Callithrix jacchus: one gene and its partners. The protein of the gene in region 3 purifies or fractionates together with the protein of the main gene of each other region. This does not show direct contact. Links are inferred from orthologs where the notes say so. Each region holds a gene or a part of one and is shown on either strand. Other genes may lie near its edges.

Evidence for each region.
Region 1: the proteins of SMURF2 (region 3) and SMAD4 purify together in Homo sapiens (affinity purification with western blotting; 3 studies listed by BioGRID). This does not show direct contact. The link is inferred for Callithrix jacchus from reciprocal best matches to the Homo sapiens genes SMURF2 and SMAD4.
Region 2: the proteins of SMURF2 (region 3) and TGFBR1 purify together in Homo sapiens (affinity purification with western blotting; 8 studies listed by BioGRID). This does not show direct contact. The link is inferred for Callithrix jacchus from reciprocal best matches to the Homo sapiens genes SMURF2 and TGFBR1.

What each region holds. Positions count from the first base shown.
Region 1 is NC_133514.1:94,274,077-94,280,152, reverse strand, and holds part of SMAD4 (mothers against decapentaplegic homolog 4), read right to left. Parts: intron 4,514-6,076; 5' UTR 4,389-4,513; coding exon 4,140-4,388; intron 2,777-4,139; coding exon 2,602-2,776; intron 2,169-2,601; coding exon 2,139-2,168; intron 1-2,138. UniProt on the Homo sapiens protein: In muscle physiology, plays a central role in the balance between atrophy and hypertrophy. When recruited by MSTN, promotes atrophy response via phosphorylated SMAD2/4.
Region 2 is NC_133502.1:147,221,519-147,228,054, forward strand, and holds the start of TGFBR1 (TGF-beta receptor type-1), read left to right. Parts: upstream 1-2,329; 5' UTR 2,330-2,417; coding exon 2,418-2,514; intron 2,515-6,536. UniProt on the Homo sapiens protein: Transmembrane serine/threonine kinase forming with the TGF-beta type II serine/threonine kinase receptor, TGFBR2, the non-promiscuous receptor for the TGF-beta cytokines TGFB1, TGFB2 and TGFB3.
Region 3 is NC_133506.1:89,929,972-89,936,771, forward strand, and holds the start of SMURF2 (E3 ubiquitin-protein ligase SMURF2), read right to left. Parts: upstream 4,488-6,800; 5' UTR 4,053-4,487; coding exon 4,001-4,052; intron 1-4,000. UniProt on the Homo sapiens protein: E3 ubiquitin-protein ligase which accepts ubiquitin from an E2 ubiquitin-conjugating enzyme in the form of a thioester and then directly transfers the ubiquitin to targeted substrates.

The DNA of each region.
Region 1 (6,076 bases), on a different chromosome or scaffold from region 3:
GGTGACAAAGAAGCTGAAACCACTGGGCCCACTCTACATCTGTATTCTTTATCATCACCAGCAGGCAGGATATAGCACCTGTCTGATGGTATTATCACCCTCTTACTTACTTTTTTTCTCCTCCACTAGACTATAAGCTCACTTAAGTAGACAAGACATACCTTATTATCTTAGCATCCCTGGAACCTAGTACCAAGCAATACATGCTCATTAAATATTTGTTAAAATGAATACACAGGTCAACTTGGTCATAGAAAGTTTCATGAAAGATAAAAGGCAGGCTGTAAATGATTACCACAAGACTTTAACTCAAAAATGAAGGAAATGTCCCATTTTCTTAACTTTTTAGTTAACTGGTCTTGTATTATTCCTTTGTTAAAATCTAGAAGGAGCTGTGAGAAATACCCCTTGTTTTCTGAGGAAATAAGGCACTGAAGACACCCTTTACAAAACCACCACTAGGGGGCTCTACAAGGCTGAATACAGTTCTATAGTCATTAAAGAAAGGCTATCGACCCATGCAATCCCATTGATAACAATGCATCAATAATTTCAGGATAGGGGAGGTGTGTGATAAGCATTCAGAATTTGAACCCCCTCACAAACAGCCCCATAGAGAGATTCAGATAGACATATCATTGCAGTCTCCCAATCTTTAATACCTACTGAGCCAAATGTTTTAATTCTCCAAAACCATGGATGGAAAATGAAGATATGAAGTGTGTTTACTTTAAAAAACACTTTAAAAGATATGAAGGGTATTTACTTAAAAAAAAAAAAAAAAGAAGAAGAAGTTATATGATTTTCAATGTCTGCATGGCAAAGAGGCAGAGCTTTAACCAATCTTAAAGCAACCCTTCCCAGACCACCACAACAGCTCCTAATAATAAATGCACACTTCTCAGAAACCTACTAATCACTAACAAGCACCACAAGGCACTAAGTCTTCCTTCCTCCATTAGTGATATGGGAGAAAGATGGAAAATAAAAACAAGAAGACTTGCAAACTCTTCCTAAATTTTGGTTAACGTCACCTAGTATTTCTGACCCATCTCTAAAATTCTGCAAACAAAAAAGGTCCCAAGTTACTACTCATTTCCCTCCAGAACAATAGCACACCTTTCTAATATGACATTGGGTCCTTTTTTTTGAGATGGAGTTGTGCTATTGTTGCCCAGGCAATGGCATGATCTCAGCTCACTGCAACCTCCAACTCCCGGGTTCAAGTGATTCACTTGCCTCAGTCTCCTGAGTAGGTGGGATTACAGGCACCCACCTGACTAATTTTTTATATTTTTAGTAGAGACAGCGTTTCACCATGTTGGCCACGCTGGTTTTGAACTCCTGACCTCACATGATCCACCAGCCTCAGCCTCCCAAAGTTCTGGGATTACAGACATGAACCACTGCACCTGGCTCACAGTGGTTCTTTATAAGAGTTTCTCTGCAAATTAATTAGTTCTGACAGAAATTTTAGTAAGTTCTAAGTAACAGACCTAAAGATTTAATAAAACTCCATTCTCAAATATTACACTAAAAAACACCTACACCCCCACTGGTGTTTCATTTTCTCACCTTAAAACACTTTTTCAGTAAGGTAAGCTGTGATGGGCATATGCTTTAAAGTAGCCTTGATTTATTTACTCAAAATGTAACAAGACTGAAAAAACACAAACGAGTGCAATTTTAAACCATTCTCAACATTATATAAAAATAAATTAGACTGAAATGAAGAAACATTAGAATACTGGTATTTTTACTGGATATGTTATATGTGATTCCAAATTACCAAACATTCTGGGAACTTAACATCCATTTAAACTGACTCTGTGAGATTTTCTTCAAAAACAGTGCTTAACTTGAAAAGCAGCCTTTGTATTTGTTTTTGGTTCATTCCCTTATCATATTTTTTACAGTACTTTAACTCATAAATTGCAGTTCAAATACAAAGAGCAAATAGCCAATTTAAATCCAGTTTTAAACACCGACACGCCCCCTCAATCTAAATTTCCAAAGCAGTAAGTTATTTTCTTGTTAAGGTTACTGCCGCCCACACAAACTAATTAATTCTAGGTCAACAAAAAAACAGAGAGGATAAAACACAGGAAAGAGAATGTGATAAGAAACAGATTACCTACCATTACTCTGCAGTGTTAATCCTGAGAGATCTTAATTGTTTAAAGAGGGGAAAAAAATAAAACATTAATCATTACAATGAAAATATTTTCCATTTAAAAACAGAGAATGTAAATTTAAGCCAGAGATTACAAAAGTTCATGAACCATTTCAATTCAGAAGTAGCATAAACGCTAACTAACAATACATACACTAAGTATTCAAACTTATAATGCTTTCCATCTTATTTCTCAAAAACAATGTTTTACATGGGCAAAATGTCAACGATAATACTTGGTTTTAGTAGTCAAAATGTTTGTTCCTGAGTTCAAATTTAAATATTTATATTAAAAATATCTCATTCTTTAACCTTATTTAAAATCCTGGGCTATCTTCGAAATTTATAATTTAACTCACAAAAATTAAAGCATTACTGACATCATTTTTCCTTTATGTTTCTAAGGATAAAAGCAAAAGTCTACTTACCAATTCCAGGTGATACAACTCGTTCATAGTGATATGGATTCACACAGACACTATCACATTTTAAGTCAAACGCATACTGACAATATTTAACATGTTTTAGTTCATTTTTGTGAAGATCAGGCCACCTCCAGAGACGGGCATAGATCACATGAGGAAATCCTTTCCGGCCAGCCACCTAGAAAAATAAACAACCATTTATTCGTGTGTCACATTATGCAAGACACTTTACATATATTCTGATTTAAACCTCACAATCCTACCAAGTCAGTATTACAATCCCCATTTCATAAACGAGAACACTAAAATTCAAAATAACTAACTTGGCCATGTCATACTTCAGACCTAGAATTTAAACGCTGGTATAATTTCAAGGCCTGTGCTCAGGTTTTAAAAATGCAAAAAGTGGGTGGGCCTGGTCGCTCACACCTGTACTTTGGGAGGCCAAGGGAGGATCTCTTGAACCTAGGAATTCAAGACCAACCTGGACAACATGGCAAGACCTTGTTTCCACAAAAAATAAAAAATCAACCAGACATGGTGGTGTGTGCCTGTAGTCGTAGCTACTCAGGAGGCTAAAGCAGGAGAACTGAATAAGCCCAGTAGGTCAAGGCTGTAGTGAGCCATGTTCGCACCACTGCATGGGCAAGACTGAGACCATGTCTCAAAGAAAGAAAATAAAATAAACAAATAAATATGCAAAAAGACTGTGTTGTAGAAACTAAAGTCTAGAAATAAAACTTTAAAATCTAAGACATAAAATTTCTATGAGATTTACTTGAGCAAGGGAGACGTATTACAAAGTTCTACATGAAAAACGTGACCAATGAAACATTTGATATCAGTGAAACATACCAGATTTCTAAATTATAAAAGGACTAAGTATAATCCACCAGTTGTTTAAATGTACATACAATATCAAAAAAGAAAACATGGCCGGGCACAGTGGCTTGCACCTGTAATCCCAGCACTTTGGGAGGCCAAGGTGGGTGGAACACCTGAGGTTAGGAGTTTGAGACCAGCCTGACCAACATAGTGAAATCCCATCTCTACTAAAAATACAAAAATTAGCTGGGCATGGTGGCACTCACCTGTAGTTCCAGCTAGTTAGGAGGCTGAGGCAGAAGGACTGCTTGAACCTGGGAGGCGGAGGCTGCAGTGAGCCAAGACTGCACCACTGCATCCCAGCCTGGGTGACAGAGTAAGACTCTGCCTCGGAAAAAGAAAGAAAAAGAAAACAACAGACTACAAAAATGAATACCAAAGGGCTAACGGAAGTTCCTGCAAAATGTGGGTTTTCTTCTTTTTATTTTCCAAATTTTCTCCACTGAACATTTTTCTGAGTCAGAACATAAAAAACTTTAAAATTTTATCTTTTGCATATTCTTCCACATATTCCCATAATGCATATTTGTACTGGATGACAGTATCTGAAGAGATGAAGCATGCATTAAATTACCCTATAGAAGCTTGAAAGGAAATTTAGCAAGTTTTTTAACCTGCCACCATAGAGGGTATAGAAAAATTCTTATAAGACTAACCTGAAGTCTCCCATCCAATGTTCTCTGTATGGTAACACATTTACTAGGATGAGCTCCATTTGTAGTTATGGCTGTTATTAAAGAATCCAATTCATCTTTTTTTTCCTTCAGCTTCTTTACCAAACTTTCAATTGCTCTTTTTGCAAATGTTTCACTCTCTCCACCTTGTCTATGGCACATCAAACTATGCACAATGCTCAGACAGGCATCATTACTAGTTGGTGTATTCGTAATAGACATATTGTCCATTTGTTCAAGTTTTTCCTTTTAAATCAAATGTCTCCAATTTCCAGAACAATTTTGATCTTTTGGAAGCAGTATAAAACAACAGGTAACGTTGCAAGTAAAACTGTTGCACATGTATTCAAGATAACCTAAAAAAGAAAAAAAAAGACACACATCAGAACATATTTCACAAAGTAGATTTAGATATACTTGGAAAAAGATGAAATTGTTCTGGTTAAGTCAGAGATTCAACGCACATAATTAAAATTTGATGCTCAGAGTTGAACATTACTTAAAATTCTTATAAAATGTTAACCATCAAAAATAATTTTTAAAAATAAAATTAATCAAAATGTCACTGTTTTTGACATTCCAAAAATATTAAAATTAGGTCTCCTCATTATAATAGTGAGACGCTCAATTGAGTCTTGCTGACTGTACTGGTCACCCTAAAGGGAAATCTTACCAGGACTTTTTTTAAAGGATTACTTATGAGGATTAGCACTTTAAAATAGTCTTGATTAACAATCAGCTAAACCTAAAAGTCTATTACTAATATTTATGAAAAATTACCATCGCCTGGTATGAAATGCTACCTAGCAGTTAACACTGACCTTTGTTAAAAGAGACCAATAAAAAAAGGATCTCTTTTATTCTACAAGACATTTCTCCAAAGATAATGGCCAATAAGCACATGAAAGCTCAACATTAGTCATTATAAAAATGAAAACCAAAACCACAAGTAGCTCTACCACTTCATACCTACTGAGATGGGTAAATCAAAGAGACAATAATAAGTATTGAAGAAGCGAGAAATTGGACCCTCATTCACTGCTGCTGGTATTACAAATGGCACAGGTACTTTGGAAAACAGGCTGGTATTAACACAAAATGTTAAACACAGTTACGATATGACCCAGCAATTCCCCTCTTCACAATTCTACTTGAGAAAAATGAAAACCTATGTCCACACAAACCTGTACACGAATGTTCACTGCAACACTGTTCATAATAGATACAACTCAAATGTCCATCAACTGATGAATGTACAAATAAAATTCCACACAATGAAATATTATTCAACCATAAAAAATAAAAGTACTAATACATGTTACAACATGGATAAACCTCAAAAACACATGCTAAGTGAAAGAAGTCAGTCACAAAGGTCACACATTATAAAATCCCATTTATATGAAATATACAAAATAGGCAAATTCACAGAGATAGAAAGTAAATCAGTGGTTGCCAGGGCCTGGCAGGAAGGGGTATGAGAAATGACTTCTAAAGAGTATGATGTTTCTTTGTTATAATGAAAAAGTCCTAAAAATTGATAATGCTGATGTCTGCACAACTGACTATAGTAAAAACTACTGAAATGTACACTTTGAAATAGTGAATTTTATGGTATGGGAATTATATCTCAATACAGCTGTTTTTTAAAGAGATCACTAAATTCCTCAAAAGATTTGTAAAAGCAACAGGGTAAATTACTTTCAAAAAAATAAAATAAAATAAATGAAGATTAATAAAGAATCCATTCAACAAGTAGAAAACTAAACTAACTTATCTGATCCCAAGACTCCACACAGAATAGGAAAAGGCCATTAGCCTAAGAGCAAAGAAAATGAAGCAAGACTGAAGCCTGTACTTTATGTGCTAGGTTGTATTTTATTTGTTCACTGAAGTTGCATTCCAGATTTATTTTGTTT
Region 2 (6,536 bases), on a different chromosome or scaffold from region 3:
TTTTTATTTACTGAATTTTAAGTATACCAGTCTTTTGAAGCTGGCCTAGTGCCACCTGCAACAGAATTAACTATGATGTCTATTACAAATGCAGATTCCTGAACCTTCTCCAGAAGAACTGAAGCAGAATTGCTAAGACCCAGTGAGACCCAAGAATCTGCATTATTAAAAGCTCTCCAGGTAATTTGGAGACACTTTACAATTTGGGAACCATGATTTTAAACTATTAATTTAGTGTTCCATTCTAGTGTAGTTTATTTATGGATCTGTTGTTCATGGAAATTTCCTCCTAGTATCAGGATGTTAAAATTTAAAAACCGGTCTGTTTTTCCTTTCTGTTGAATCTACTCAATTCCATGGAAAATGTTAAGGAACTGGAGGTGTGATTAACACTGATTAATCTAGGCTCTGTACGTCAAGGGCACAGACTAACATGAACACACATGCTGATTAGAATCATACGGAGCTGGAAGGGGATGGGCAAAGAAATGGCATTAACTAAATATTTACTATGTTCCAGACACTGTACCAGACACATTACATCATCTAAGGAGCCCAAGACAAGTGATTCAATCCCTTTCATTTATAAACGGGGTAGGTACTATTATTATTTACATTTTAGAGATGAGGAAGCTAAAGGCCAAAGAAAAACAGTCACTTTGAGATCATTCATTCATTCACACAATCAAAATCTCATTAGCTCTTATCTTATGCAAGACATTGCAAATAGAGCAGCAAAAAGGCAATCTAGAGACCTCTTGGCACAAAGCCCACCAAGTCTCCATTGAAGAAACTGGAACCGAGAGGGCAAATTGGGACTGGAGCCTGCCAGAAACCGTCTTTCTGGAATCCTTCAGTCTGAACAAGAGGGGAGTTCGCTGCTGAGGCTGCTGGCGCTGCAGTCTAGAGCAAGTTGCAGGCCTCTGAGCCTGCTGGAGACTCTGAAAGGTTAGCTGACTTTGCCGAAGTAGTGTCCCAGCCAGGAGGGAGAAAGCACGCAGGTCTCAGATCCCAGCTCCAATATCCACGTCCTTTCCCTTTTCATCTCCAGGAAGGAAACCTTCACAGGTGGGGAAAATGCTCACCCAGTGACTCTGAAGTAGTGCACAAGTTGACATTAGAGGCTGGTTCTGATTCCTGCTATCAAGGTTTATTTAATTCCAAGCTCAAATGACACAGGAAATAAAACTTTCTCCTTAAAAGGTTCTGAGGGAAAATATTCTCTGTTCTACGTAACAGCCTCCTTGGCTGTGTTTGTGTCTGAAGAAAGGACTAGTCTGACAGGAAGAATTACAAATCTGGAGCTCATTTTGGCGTCGCGGAGGAAAGGTGGGTGGAGCGTCTCGCAGTAAATTAGGAATTCGGAATGAAAACGTAGTTTATTTGGGTTTTTAGTGACACCTCAGGATTATTATACAGGAGTGTCAGACACAGCTCAAAGTAATGACTGCTCCCCCTCCACCCCGCGGGAGCTGGGTTCTAAGAAGGGGGAACCCCTCCTTTGAGGGGTTGGGGTGGGGACCCTCCCTTTCCAACCTGGATCAGGAAGGGGGATGAGGCGAGAGCGGCTTGGATCCCCATCCTGTGCCTGTTCCGGAGTGAGGCGGGAGGCTATTTGGGGGTGTGTTTGGGGTCAGGATCTGGGTCTGAGGCTGGGATCTGAGGACTTCCTAGGTTTGGAATTGGGTGGGGGAGCTAGGTTCGGGATGACCGCTCCAAGCATGAGGAAACAGGAGACTGAGTCGCATGTGAAGGGCGCGGAGGAAAGATCTTCGGGGGAATGCTGAAGTTGATGCGTGGACTTGGAGAGGGGAAGTTGAAGTGCATGCAGGGCCTGGCGCTGCAGCGGATCTGAGTGGCCTATGCAGGGATTGCCGGTGCGGAGCAGTGAATGGGGTCAGCGTGGGGCTGAAGCAGTACGAGATCTTCCGCGCCTAGAGGAGGTTAGAAGAAAAGAGAGTCGAGCGGCCACAGCCTTTTCCCGAAAGCGACTCACACAGACACACCCTTCGCTCTACCCGGCCCTCCGGGGCTAGCGGCTCGGCGGCGCTGGGTCTGGCCGATCCCGCCCCCACACCGCCTCGCGGAGCCGGGAGCAGCTCTGGCCGGGGCAGGGGTCTGGCGGCCCGTCCCCCGGGGAGCGTGGGGCGTGGCCAGAGGCCGGGGCGCGCGGCTCCGGATTGGCTGCCCGGTGGGCCCGCGGGCGGGGCTCGTGGCTGGGTCCCGCTCGGCCGCTCGCGGCGGCGGGGAGGCGGGGCCGGCGGGAGCCCGGCAGCCAATGGACGCACGTCCCCCGAGCAGTTACAAAGGGCCGAAGCGGGGCCGCCGCGGCGGCGGGGGAGGTGGGGCGAGGCGAGGTTTGCTGGGGTGAGGCGGCGGCCGGGCCGGGCCGGGCCACAGGCGGTGGCGGCGGGACCATGGAGGCGGCGGCCGCTGCTCCGCGTCCCCGACTGCTCCTCCTTGTGCTGGCGGCGGCAGCGGCGGCGGCGGCGCTGCTGCTCCCGGGGGCGACGGGTGAGCGGCAGCGCGGCGCGGCGGGCGGGCGGGCGACTGCGGGGCGCGCGGGCCGGGCCCGGCCTCCGGCTCGCTACTGCTCTTTCTCAAACATGGCGCGGGGCCGGGGGCGCAGGTGGCAGCGCCGGGGCCCGGACCGGGCTCTCGTGGCCCCAACCGGGCTCTCGTGGCCCCGAGCGGCTCGGTGGCAGCCGGGCGAACCGCAAGCGGGGAGCGGAGGCGGGGCAGGGGCGTGTGTCCGGGCACGGGTGAACGTGCCGGGCAGCCTGAGGCCGTCCGGCTCGGGACTCCCCCGGGGAGGTGGAGTCGGACGGAGTCGTCCGAGGGCCGGGGCTGCCCTGTGGGGTGTGCGTGGGTTAGGGCCAGGGGCGGAGGATGCGAGACGGGCGGGGACTGGCAGAGCGGTGGCTGCCGACCGCCGCCGCCCCCCAGGGAACGGCGTGGTCTTGGGGTCCCGGGCGGGTTTTGGGGTTGGGGGGAAGGCGGCTCCCGGGCGGGGTGTGAGCTCCGAGCCGCGAGGGCTTCCCGGGGTGGGAGTCGGGGGTCGACATGTGGTGAGACCCCCGGGTCTGCAAGCTGCCCTGACTCCCGCCCGGCCCGACCCTGCTGGAAGGGTCTGCTCCTTCAGCCAAGGGGGCTTTGTGTGAGAAGAAGGAAGCGTGGAGATGCGCGGAGTATTCCTTCTTTCGTGCGCCTGAGGAGTGTTGAAGTGAGTCCAGTAACCAGAAGGCTACGGATTGTTTTCGTAGTGGAAACTTGAACGTTTGCTCACTCTACAGGGTTTGGAAATTTGGGGAATGACTGTGAATTGATTCAACGCTTTTATTTCCTAGAAGGAACATCACTTGCGATGTTCCTTTTCTTGAGTGACAGTTAATAGTTTGAATGATACATCTGGTAGCTGGTTTTCAAGGAAGAATGTTCGCTGAGTTTTTCCAAGTATTAAATCAGGTCGGGGTAGGTGGTTGGCATCCACAAAGTGATGAGTGGAAAACTTTGTTAGCAGCTGAATTAAGACAGTAGAAACTAAAATCAGAGCCTCAGTCTTAGCAACTAAAATGCAGTGAAATTACATTTCTGTTTCTGAAACTGTACAAAAATGTTGAAAATTCTTTTAAAAATCAAGACTGAAGATGATGATTATAATTAGTCCTAATAGCCTCCGTCTATGTATTATGCATTACTATGATGTAAATGCATAAAGTACACTATTGGATACGTACATTATTTAATCACCACAACCAAACTCTCAGGACTTGTGGCATTTGCCCCACTTTAAAGATTTGAAAAGTGGGGTGCAGACCCCTGGGTCTGCTTAAGTATGCAGTCACTAAGTGCTAAAGCTAGAATTTTCACTCAGATCTCAGTTTCCAAAACCTGTACACACATATATATATAAATATGTATATACACACGCAAACATGTATACATCATACTACCTGGCATAGCCCATTTTTCTTCATCTGATGAGCAACTGGTCTTTATTATTCACTTTTAGATTCTGTCCTCATGATATGAATGTCAGATAGGCTTCATTCTGACTCTTAGCACATTCCTGAGTCCCTTCACGTGGGCCTGCATTAGAGGAAACAATGGATTTTTGACATTGGCCTAGGGAGGAAGGCAAGATAACTGTGTGGACAGATTGGGAGAATCAATATAGTTAGGGGGAAACATAGGTAACATTTCCACACCACTATTAACTTGAATAACATAGTGCCCTCTTTTCCACCAGAAGTAGCACAGGAAGTGTTCATGTATTCAAGTAACAGTAGGTGGACTTAGTTGGATACACAGAACATTGCTCAGTCCATGTCCTGGGGGAGTTTACAGTCTCTGTGGCATGTACACAGTACAAAGCTGTCCAGGTGCATATTACTCTAAGCCCAGACTGCCTCAGCTTCTCTGCCTTTCTTATTGGTTATGATGATGTCTCAGTCCACCCTTAAAATAACATTCTGAAAAAGGTCAAATGCTTTTTTTTCTCTCTGTAATTTTACTTCCCTTTTAAAAAGAGTGCAGTTTCTTATTTTCTGAGTATGTTTTATTGTTCTCTGCCCAACTTCTCTCCCCAACATAGATTTCTCTAGGAAAATTGATTCCTTGTCGCTAGTACACGGTTTAGTACCACTGTGTCTATATGAATATCCCTTGTGAGAATGCTGTTTGCTTCCTTTCTGCCATTTCATAACATTTTTTCTTTGGAAACATGCTCTAAATCCAACTCTTGTTTCTATTAATGCCTCTTGAATGTCTCCTCCTTTCTTGGTATGCAGCCTTCAGCTTAATCCTGCCTGTTATCCTCCAAATCTAGTTGCTTTCCCATGTTTCTCTCTTCTAAGCTTTTCTATGGGCTACTGCCAAACTAATCTTCCTCAGCCATCCCCATAAAGGTTTATATGATTTCCCATTTGTATTCAGCACTTAGAGAAACACTTCAGCAGCTTATGATTGGGGCCATCTCTGAGTATCCTACCAGGAATCTCACTTCTCATTACTGCAGACCTTCAAGCAATTTCTATTTCTCACTGACTCCTGACTGTTCAGCTTTTCACTACACATTTAATTTTGCCCCTTTTTTGGGAGTGTAAGAAGTTCTCAGTCCTGACTTCCTGTACTGGTTTAGTTCTTGAATTCTTTGTCTTCCAGAACTCTGCAACACTTACAGTTTGTGTTGTCCATTTCTACTGTCTGCACTGCAATTTAACTACACTTGAATATGTTGTAGATACCTAGAGGACGAGATTCATGCCATTTCTTTGCTTTATGGCCTCAGAACTTAGCACTGTGTTTTATATTCTATTCCACATAGATGCTTGTTGATTTCTATTTGAGCATTCCTTTAGTATTTATACTGTTTTATCTAAGTCCAGTTTATGCAATATTAACTTATAATTCTGTATAAATAATCAGGAAATATTGTGTGGTGTGGTGAAGGCAAGTGGTTATTAGTCCCACCTTCACCACCAGTTATGCAGAAAATAGGGGCAATACCTGCTTTTGCCTAATTCATGAGATTGTGAAGATCACATGAGAAAGTGGTATTTGAGTTTGAGGTTGCTATTCTGTATTGTTACTAATGATCAGGACTGATATTCAACAAGCAGTTCCCACTGGGCCATGTGTTTTTTGGTTAAACATCCTTTCTGGTTGGTTGGTACCCTTGTAGTGCCAGTTGTTAAATATTTTTAATGTCATCCCTGTAGGGAGGCATTAGTATTCAAAAAGGGAGATGATTAGTGTAGGCTGGAGTGATTGGGGGAGGCTTTCTGGACAGTTTAGGACTTAAGCTGACTTTGAAGGGTGGGTACAATTCAGAGGGGGATTTGATGAGTATGAAAGTTCTCTAAAAGTGTGTCTCCAACTGTACTGGGGCCCCCACTCCAAGGGAGGAAACAAAGCTTTTACTGACTGGCAAGTTACTCTTCAAAGTTAGGTTCCTTATTCTTTACTGTGGGATTTGGATGTATTAACCTCTATCATTTTTCCCCCCAATCCTAAAGGCTATAGTACATGGCTGGAAACAAAGCATAAAAGTAATCAAAGTGGAGTAAATGAGAGAGAATAACATTATAGGATGCCCACTAGGGCTAGGCATTCAGCTGGTGAAAGTCCTAAGTATATTGTCACTTCAATTTACAGATGAAAAAACTCAGATTAGGTGAATTTCTTAGGGTGACAAAGGGCAGAACAGAGACAGGAACTTTGATTTTCTGATTCCAAATCTTGTGCCCTATATTCTGCTTTAAAATGTGAAGGACATGGAGGTGGGCGTGGGACGAGGTTAATGGAGTGACTTACCTAAGTGAAATAGGCCTTGCACTTCACACAATTTATGAAAAGTGAATTCTAAAGGTAGAAGGGAAGGGGAGTGATTAAAGGCTAAAAGTCCTCAAGGGAAAGGTCAGGATTCTTTTTTTTTAATTGCTGATAAAAGGACCTGGTATAATACTGACTGAGAAACATAGGCCTATAGTAGTTTGGAAGGTAGTCTTGGATAAGTACTGTTAATTGAATTGGGT
Region 3 (6,800 bases):
TTATGCTAAAAGAGATGTTAGTATGTTGCGATAGTAAGAGCTCAACCAACAAGAAAAAGGTAAAAGTGATGACTAAAATATACACAGACTTTATTATGAATACCAAACTACATCAAGGGCCTAGGCATCTACTGCCTGCATGAAGAAGGTTAGACTAGAAGACAGTTTAAGAGAAAAGGAAGGAGCTAAGCCACACTGGCTTCCTTCTCAGAAACCAAGGAAAATAAAATGAATTGGGGACATTCAAATCACTAACAGCTCAGTATATAAAAGTCATCATGGTATACAGGCACACTTAAAAACGTGAAATAGAATGAAGCTATACTTTTTAAAGCCTTGAATCGACAGAATATGTAGTGAAACAAGATTAAGGTGCTAGCATATCTAAAGGGACATTTTTTAAATTAAATTTCCTTATATTATAGACAAAGTTAACCTCCTTACTGTCAAGTGCTTTGAATTTAATAACCAGAGAAGCAGCATACAAAAACATTAAATTTATAAAAAGGTCTGAAATAATGTTCTGGAGTAATCTTATTCTACTACTCCATAGGTAAGAATTTAAAATATTAGAAATTACAACAAACTGCTTTTTCTAGCCTTTGGTTTTCAAAAAAAAATGGGCCAGGCACAGTGGCTCATACCTGTAATCCCAGCACTTTGGGAGGCCATGGCGGGTGGATCACAAGGTCAAGAGATCGAGACTATCCTGGCCAACATGGTGAAACCCTGTCTCTACTAAAAATACAAAAATTAGCTGGGTGTGGTGGTGCGAGCCTGTTCTCCCAACTACTCGAGAGGCTGAGGCAGGAGAATTGCTTGAACCCAGGAGGCAGAGGTTGCAGTGAGCTGAGATTGCACCACTGCAATGGAGAGAGACTGTCTCAAAAAAAAAAAAAGTATAAAAAATTACCCCAAAGTTTTTACTGTAAAGAATATTTTTCTATACAATCCATTGTAAAAGCCTGTATCAGATAATCATATAATGATACAGAAATTATACATTTTGTAATCAATTTGTTCTAGAAATATTAGTTGAAGTAGATAGTGTTATCATACAGCCCATTTTAATGATCATATGTTAATGTGTCATAAAGAACACATTATACTTGATGGATGAAATCAGATTCTAACTCCCAATTCCCTGAGGAATCTAAAATTTGGGATTTAATTATTAAATTAGCCCCACCTTCTTAGCATTGACAAATACCAAACTGTTCACTGATTGTGGTTTTAAGAATAACGTGGAAAGGTCTAATACCAATTGTGGGCAGAGATCTCATAGTTCAAATATTTCCTCTTCTTTAGAAAAAGAGTGTGTGTACGGGTGTGTGTGTGTGTCTCTGTGTGTGCACGCGTGCATGAGTGTGGGTGGGTGTGTGTCACCATGTAAGAAATGTTTTATACCTTTCAGTAAAGGGGCAATTCCACAATAAGGTTATTACCAAGTAACTAAAGTTTATACAGCATCTTGAAATCAAAGTTACTCTATAAATTTAAAATACTAATATTAAAGCAAAGAATAATAATTTTAAAACATCTTATAGCTCAAGCATATTATAAACCAAATAAAAATTCACTGAGGGAGCTGTCTTTTAAGTGATTTTTTTTTCCTCTATTAGGGAACCCAGATCTAAATGAACTGCTAAACACTTAGGCTAAAGGTATGCCAAACATTTCTTAAGGTCTTAACAAAGAATCAACCTTCTTTTTTTTTTTTAAACAAAATGAGGCCTAGGTTAAATATTTTATTTGGCTTCTCAAGATGGATTGAGAAGTTGGGCACCAGCTCCAGACCAATTCCTGGACGCACATCAAACACAGTCCTGTCATTTATCCAGTCAGTCAAAACAATCTTTTCCATCTAACCCTTTAATGTTTATGTCCTAAAAAGCTGCTAATTGAATCCAGCTCTTGAGATCTATTTGCTAAAATCTATACCATCTAATTTGTAAATGCTGAACAAAAATGAAAAAAAAAGTTAACTTTCCTAGCAAAACAGAAGAGACTCCACTGTAACCAAAGAAGGAAGGACAATGTTTTTAATATTTGTCAAATTTTAAGAGAAAACTATTCAGAGACAAATAGTTGTAAGAAACTCAGAGCACCTCAAACTGCTTTTACTATTAAGAGGACACAGCGAATTTAAAATTCCTCAGAAAAACCTGAAACAAAATCACTCTCTAAATGTACTTCACTATTTATTCCTTCTTCCCCTGAAATATAAGCATAATCTTTCCTCTTAGCAAACTTCACTTATAAATTTTTATAATGTATCTTAGGCAGTGGGGAAACCACAGATAAACACTTTAAGATCTATTGAGTCATATTAAAAACCTCAACTCATCTATCTGCAGAAAATCAAAATCCCTATTTTTTTCCCCTAGTTTTCTCTACATAGCCTAGAGAGAAGTAAATGGCAACAGCCTATTTCTGACGTTTTCTGCATACCTGGGATCACATGTTCTTTCCACGATCATTGACGCCAGATAGCAACAGCAAGAGATAAAACTCTAAAGCAACAAAGATCCCCCTAAAGGTTTCCACTGACTCCTACCAATATAAGGACATTGAATGCGGGCGGGTAGGGGGAATCCAAGTATCTTCCAATCCAGGTTTTCCATTAAGAACCACTTGGTTAATGATTCCCTGCCAATTTTCTCCAGGGAAAGCAAAACTGTCTTGAAGGTAAAATATTATTTAAATTACAGCCAACATACATTCAAGCTAAATTCTCAAATACCAAATTCACTGCAAGTTTTCATCTAGCAAGTCCAGCCTGCGGACTGGGATGACACATAGAAGCATTCAACTACAAAATTAGTTCAAATAAATCTCAAAGTCTAGTGTGGGCAAACATAATTACAGTTTATTCGTACACGTGCACGCACACACAAATCCTCTACGGAAAATTATCTTTCTCGCCACTCATCTGAATATAAACGTAAACAATTTATCAGGAGTAAATGGTGAAGGAAGGATAACGCCATGATCTCAATTACTTTTCAAACCAAATACAAGTTTTCCTAAAATGGGGGTGGCATGTCCATGTAAGAATACCAAAAATGGTACTGTAAGCAAAACGTACCTGTAATGTTAAAGATTTCATGCACCTGAAATTATAAACACTTTGTAAGTGTAGTACCCCTCCGGACATTCCTTTCCATTTAGAAAAAAAGGGGGAGGGTGTGGAGAGTAAGAACAAGTTCGCTCTAAAGTTTGTATGAGCACACACTTAGAAATGTATCCTCTCCCCCGCCCCCCAAAAAACCGTGTTTTTAAAGCAGGTCTGGAGTTAAAAGTGGGACACAAGTTCTGCGGCCTACAAGGAACAACCCCAAACATGCCACCTACAATCCAGACACTTCCAAAACACAATGTACAATGAGCCCGAGCCATCGGATCAGACTGGCACACCGGAAAAGTCAACCTCAGTCTCCTCTCCTCAGAGAGAAGTGAGTTGAAGGTGTGTGGCCCCAGCAGCGGTGGCCGGCGGCGGGGAGTAAAGGTTTTGCACGCGGGCATAAGTGGGTGTGCAAGTTAACCCGGGAACACACACGCACACCCTCCCGTTAAGCGTTCCGTCTTTACGGAGTGTTTACTACGCGCAGTCAGCAACCGGATTCAATAATCCTCGCCACCGGAGCTCTTCATCCCCTTCAAGAGCCCACCTGGGCGGCAGCCCACGAGCCCCGGGAAGCAGCGTCCCGCTCCTCGACCAAGACCTTTCGACCTAAAATCCTCCTGCGACGCGAACCGGTGTATCCCCCTTCCACAAAAGACCACCCCCCCGCCACCCCGAGTCATCCTCGGCTTTTTACAGAATGTCCAAACCGGAGCAAGTGGTTTTCCTATTACTCTCCCTGAACTAGGCCTTCCCACTCCTCCGACCCCCAACTCACCATTGATCGCGACCCTGGCCCTTCCCAAGGCCACAGGCACCCCCCGCCAGCTCGCCCACCCCGCCGCTGCCCGACCCGGCCCGCCGCCCCCCCCTCACCTGTCAGGCGCAGCTTGACGGGCCCGTTCCTCCGGCCTCCGGGGTTAGACATGTCCCCGGCGGCGGGGGCGAAGGGGCGGCGGGCGGGACAGGGACCAGGGACGGGGCGACGGCGAGACGCGGCGGAGTCACAACAGCGGCCGGGGCTGGGGCCCGAGCAGCCGGCGCCGCGGCCGCCGCGGCCGGAGGGTCCCGGATGTGCCGAGCGTCGTCGCCATGAGCCGCGGAGGGAGCGGGACGCCGAGCTCCCCCCTCCTCCCACTTCTTCCTCGGCCCGGGCCGCACAACAAAGCGGCAGCCGCGGCAGCCCGCGCCGCCTCTGCCTGCACCCCCGCCGCCTCCGCACGGCCGCCGCGGCCTTTCACTCCTCTTGTCTAGGCGAGGCCCAGTAGACGACGGGGCTGGTCGGCTAAGGCGGGCGGTGCTCCGCGGCGCCGGAGCAGGACTTTGGGCTCGGCCGCTTCCTCCTCCACCCGCCCTCTTGTCTGAGGGACCCGGGACCTGAGGCCGCCGCCGCCACTCGTCGGCTCCGGGGGGCGGGGAGGAGACGAGAGGCGGGGCTGGCGGGGCGGAGCAGGGCCGGGGCGGGACCGGCGGGCGCGCGCAGGGTGCCCGGGGCGCGGGGAGGGCGGGGCGAGCTCGGCTCAGACCCCAGCCGTCTGGGAGGTCGTGTGCTGCTGCCGAGGGTCCCACGCGGAACGCGGGGAGGGAGCGGGCAGGGAGCAAAGTGACGCGGGGGCGGCAGGTCTGTGGCACCTGGAGGGACTTGGTGTCCGGTCCTTTTCGGGAGAGCTTTTGTCCAAGCACGGCCGACTGTGCGCGGGGCGCTCGGAGAGGCTGGGGCGAGCAAATTTAGAACCGAGTCCGCTGCCCGCCGGGAACTTGGAGTCTTCCGGGCAAGGGAAGAGACTGCATTCCCACGCCAAGGGTTCCAGCAAAGCCCCAGGTGTGCTCTGCTCCTGATCTTGTAGTTGACGCCTCCATCCGGGACTCACCTGGTGGAGGAGATCGGGTTACCTGCCGACTCTGGCTCTTTTCAGGTGCAGCCAAGGATAGGGAGATGATATTGACGTCTTAAAGGATTAACAAGATAAACCGCTCAAGCCTGTAATCCCAGCACTTTGGGAGGCCGAGGCGGGTGGATCACGAGGTCAAGAGATCGAGACCATATCCTGGTCAACATGGTGAAACCCCGTCTCTACTAAAAATACAAAAAATTAGCTGGGCACGGTGGCGCGTGCCTGTAATCCCAGCTACTCAGGAGGCTGAAGCAGGAGAATTGCCTGAACCCAGGAGGCGGAGGTTGCGGTGAGCCGAGATCGCGCCATTGCACTACAGCCTGGGTGAACAGAGCGAAACTCCGTCTCAAAAAAAAAAAAAAAAACAAGATAAACCTTGGAGAGTAATGTATGAAGAGTTGTTCATACACTATTCTATGTCGTTATCTCAGGAGGAAAAGTTTTTTTTAAATGTGTACCTTATCCTTTGACCTTGTAACTGTACTGCTAGGATTTTTTTTTCAGACAGGGCCTCCCTCTGTCGCCCAGACTGGAGTGCCTTGGTGCGATTATGGCTCACTGAAGTCTCGGCTTCCCGGGCTCAAGTGATCCTCCCACCTGAGCCTCTGGGATCACAAGTGTGCGCCACGACGCTCCACTAATTTTTTTGTTTTGTTTCTTGAAGTCTCTGTCACCGAAGCTGGAGTGCAGTGACGCGATCTCGGCTCACTGCAACCTCAGCCTCCGGGGTTCAAGAGATTCTCCTGCCTCTGCCTCCCAAGTAGCTGGGACCACAGGCACACACCACCATGCCTTGCTAATTTTTTGTATTTTTTAGTTGGGAGGGGGTTTCACTATGTTGGCCACGCTGGTCCCGAACTCCTGATTTCAAGCAATTCGCCCGACTCGGCCTCCCAGAGTGCTAGGATTACAGACGTGAACCCCCGTGCCCGTACCTTTTCTTGACAAATAATAGTACGGAAGATGTTCTTTGCTAAATTCCATTAATAACAAAAGTGGAATGAGGGAACAGCATAATGCTCCATGAACTGCATGGTTTTTATGCAGCCATTGAACTGACAATTTTTATGAAGATCACACAATATGGAAGAATTTATATGTAACGCAAACTTTAAAAATAGAACAAAAGTTGTATGTGTATACATGCAGAAGTATCTAGCACAATGTAAACTACTAAGGACAACAGTGTGAGGGATTTTTAATGTGATTTATTTTGCTTTAGGCTGTTATAACATTAATGTAATTTTAAATGTTTTGGATTAATCCTTATTCCATGCCAGTCGCTGCTTTTAATGCATCAGTGAAGTTGCTTCTCCAGATAGTTACCTCTGAGAGCATTTCATCAGTTTGGATACAACCCTACAATTAAAGTAATCCAAAAAAAGCATATGAAGTTCTAGACATCACACTAAAAATATCAGAGATAGGCCAGGCACAGTGGCTCATGCCTGTAATCCCAGCACTTTGGGAGGCTAAGGGAGGCAGATCATTTAAGATCAAGAGTTTGAGACCAGCCTGGCCAAAATAGTGAAACCGCCATCTCTATGGGAAAATAAAAGGCTGGGCATGGTGGCTCACACCCGTAATCCCAGCATTTTGGGAGGCAGAGGTGGGCACATCATCTGAGGTCGGGAGTGTGAGACCAACCTGATCAACAGGGAGAAACCCCATCTCTATTAAAAATACAAAATTAGCTGGGTGTGGTCGCACATGCCTGTAATCCCAGCTACTCAGGAGGCTAAGGCAGGAGAATCGCTTGAACCTGGGAGGCAGAGGTTACA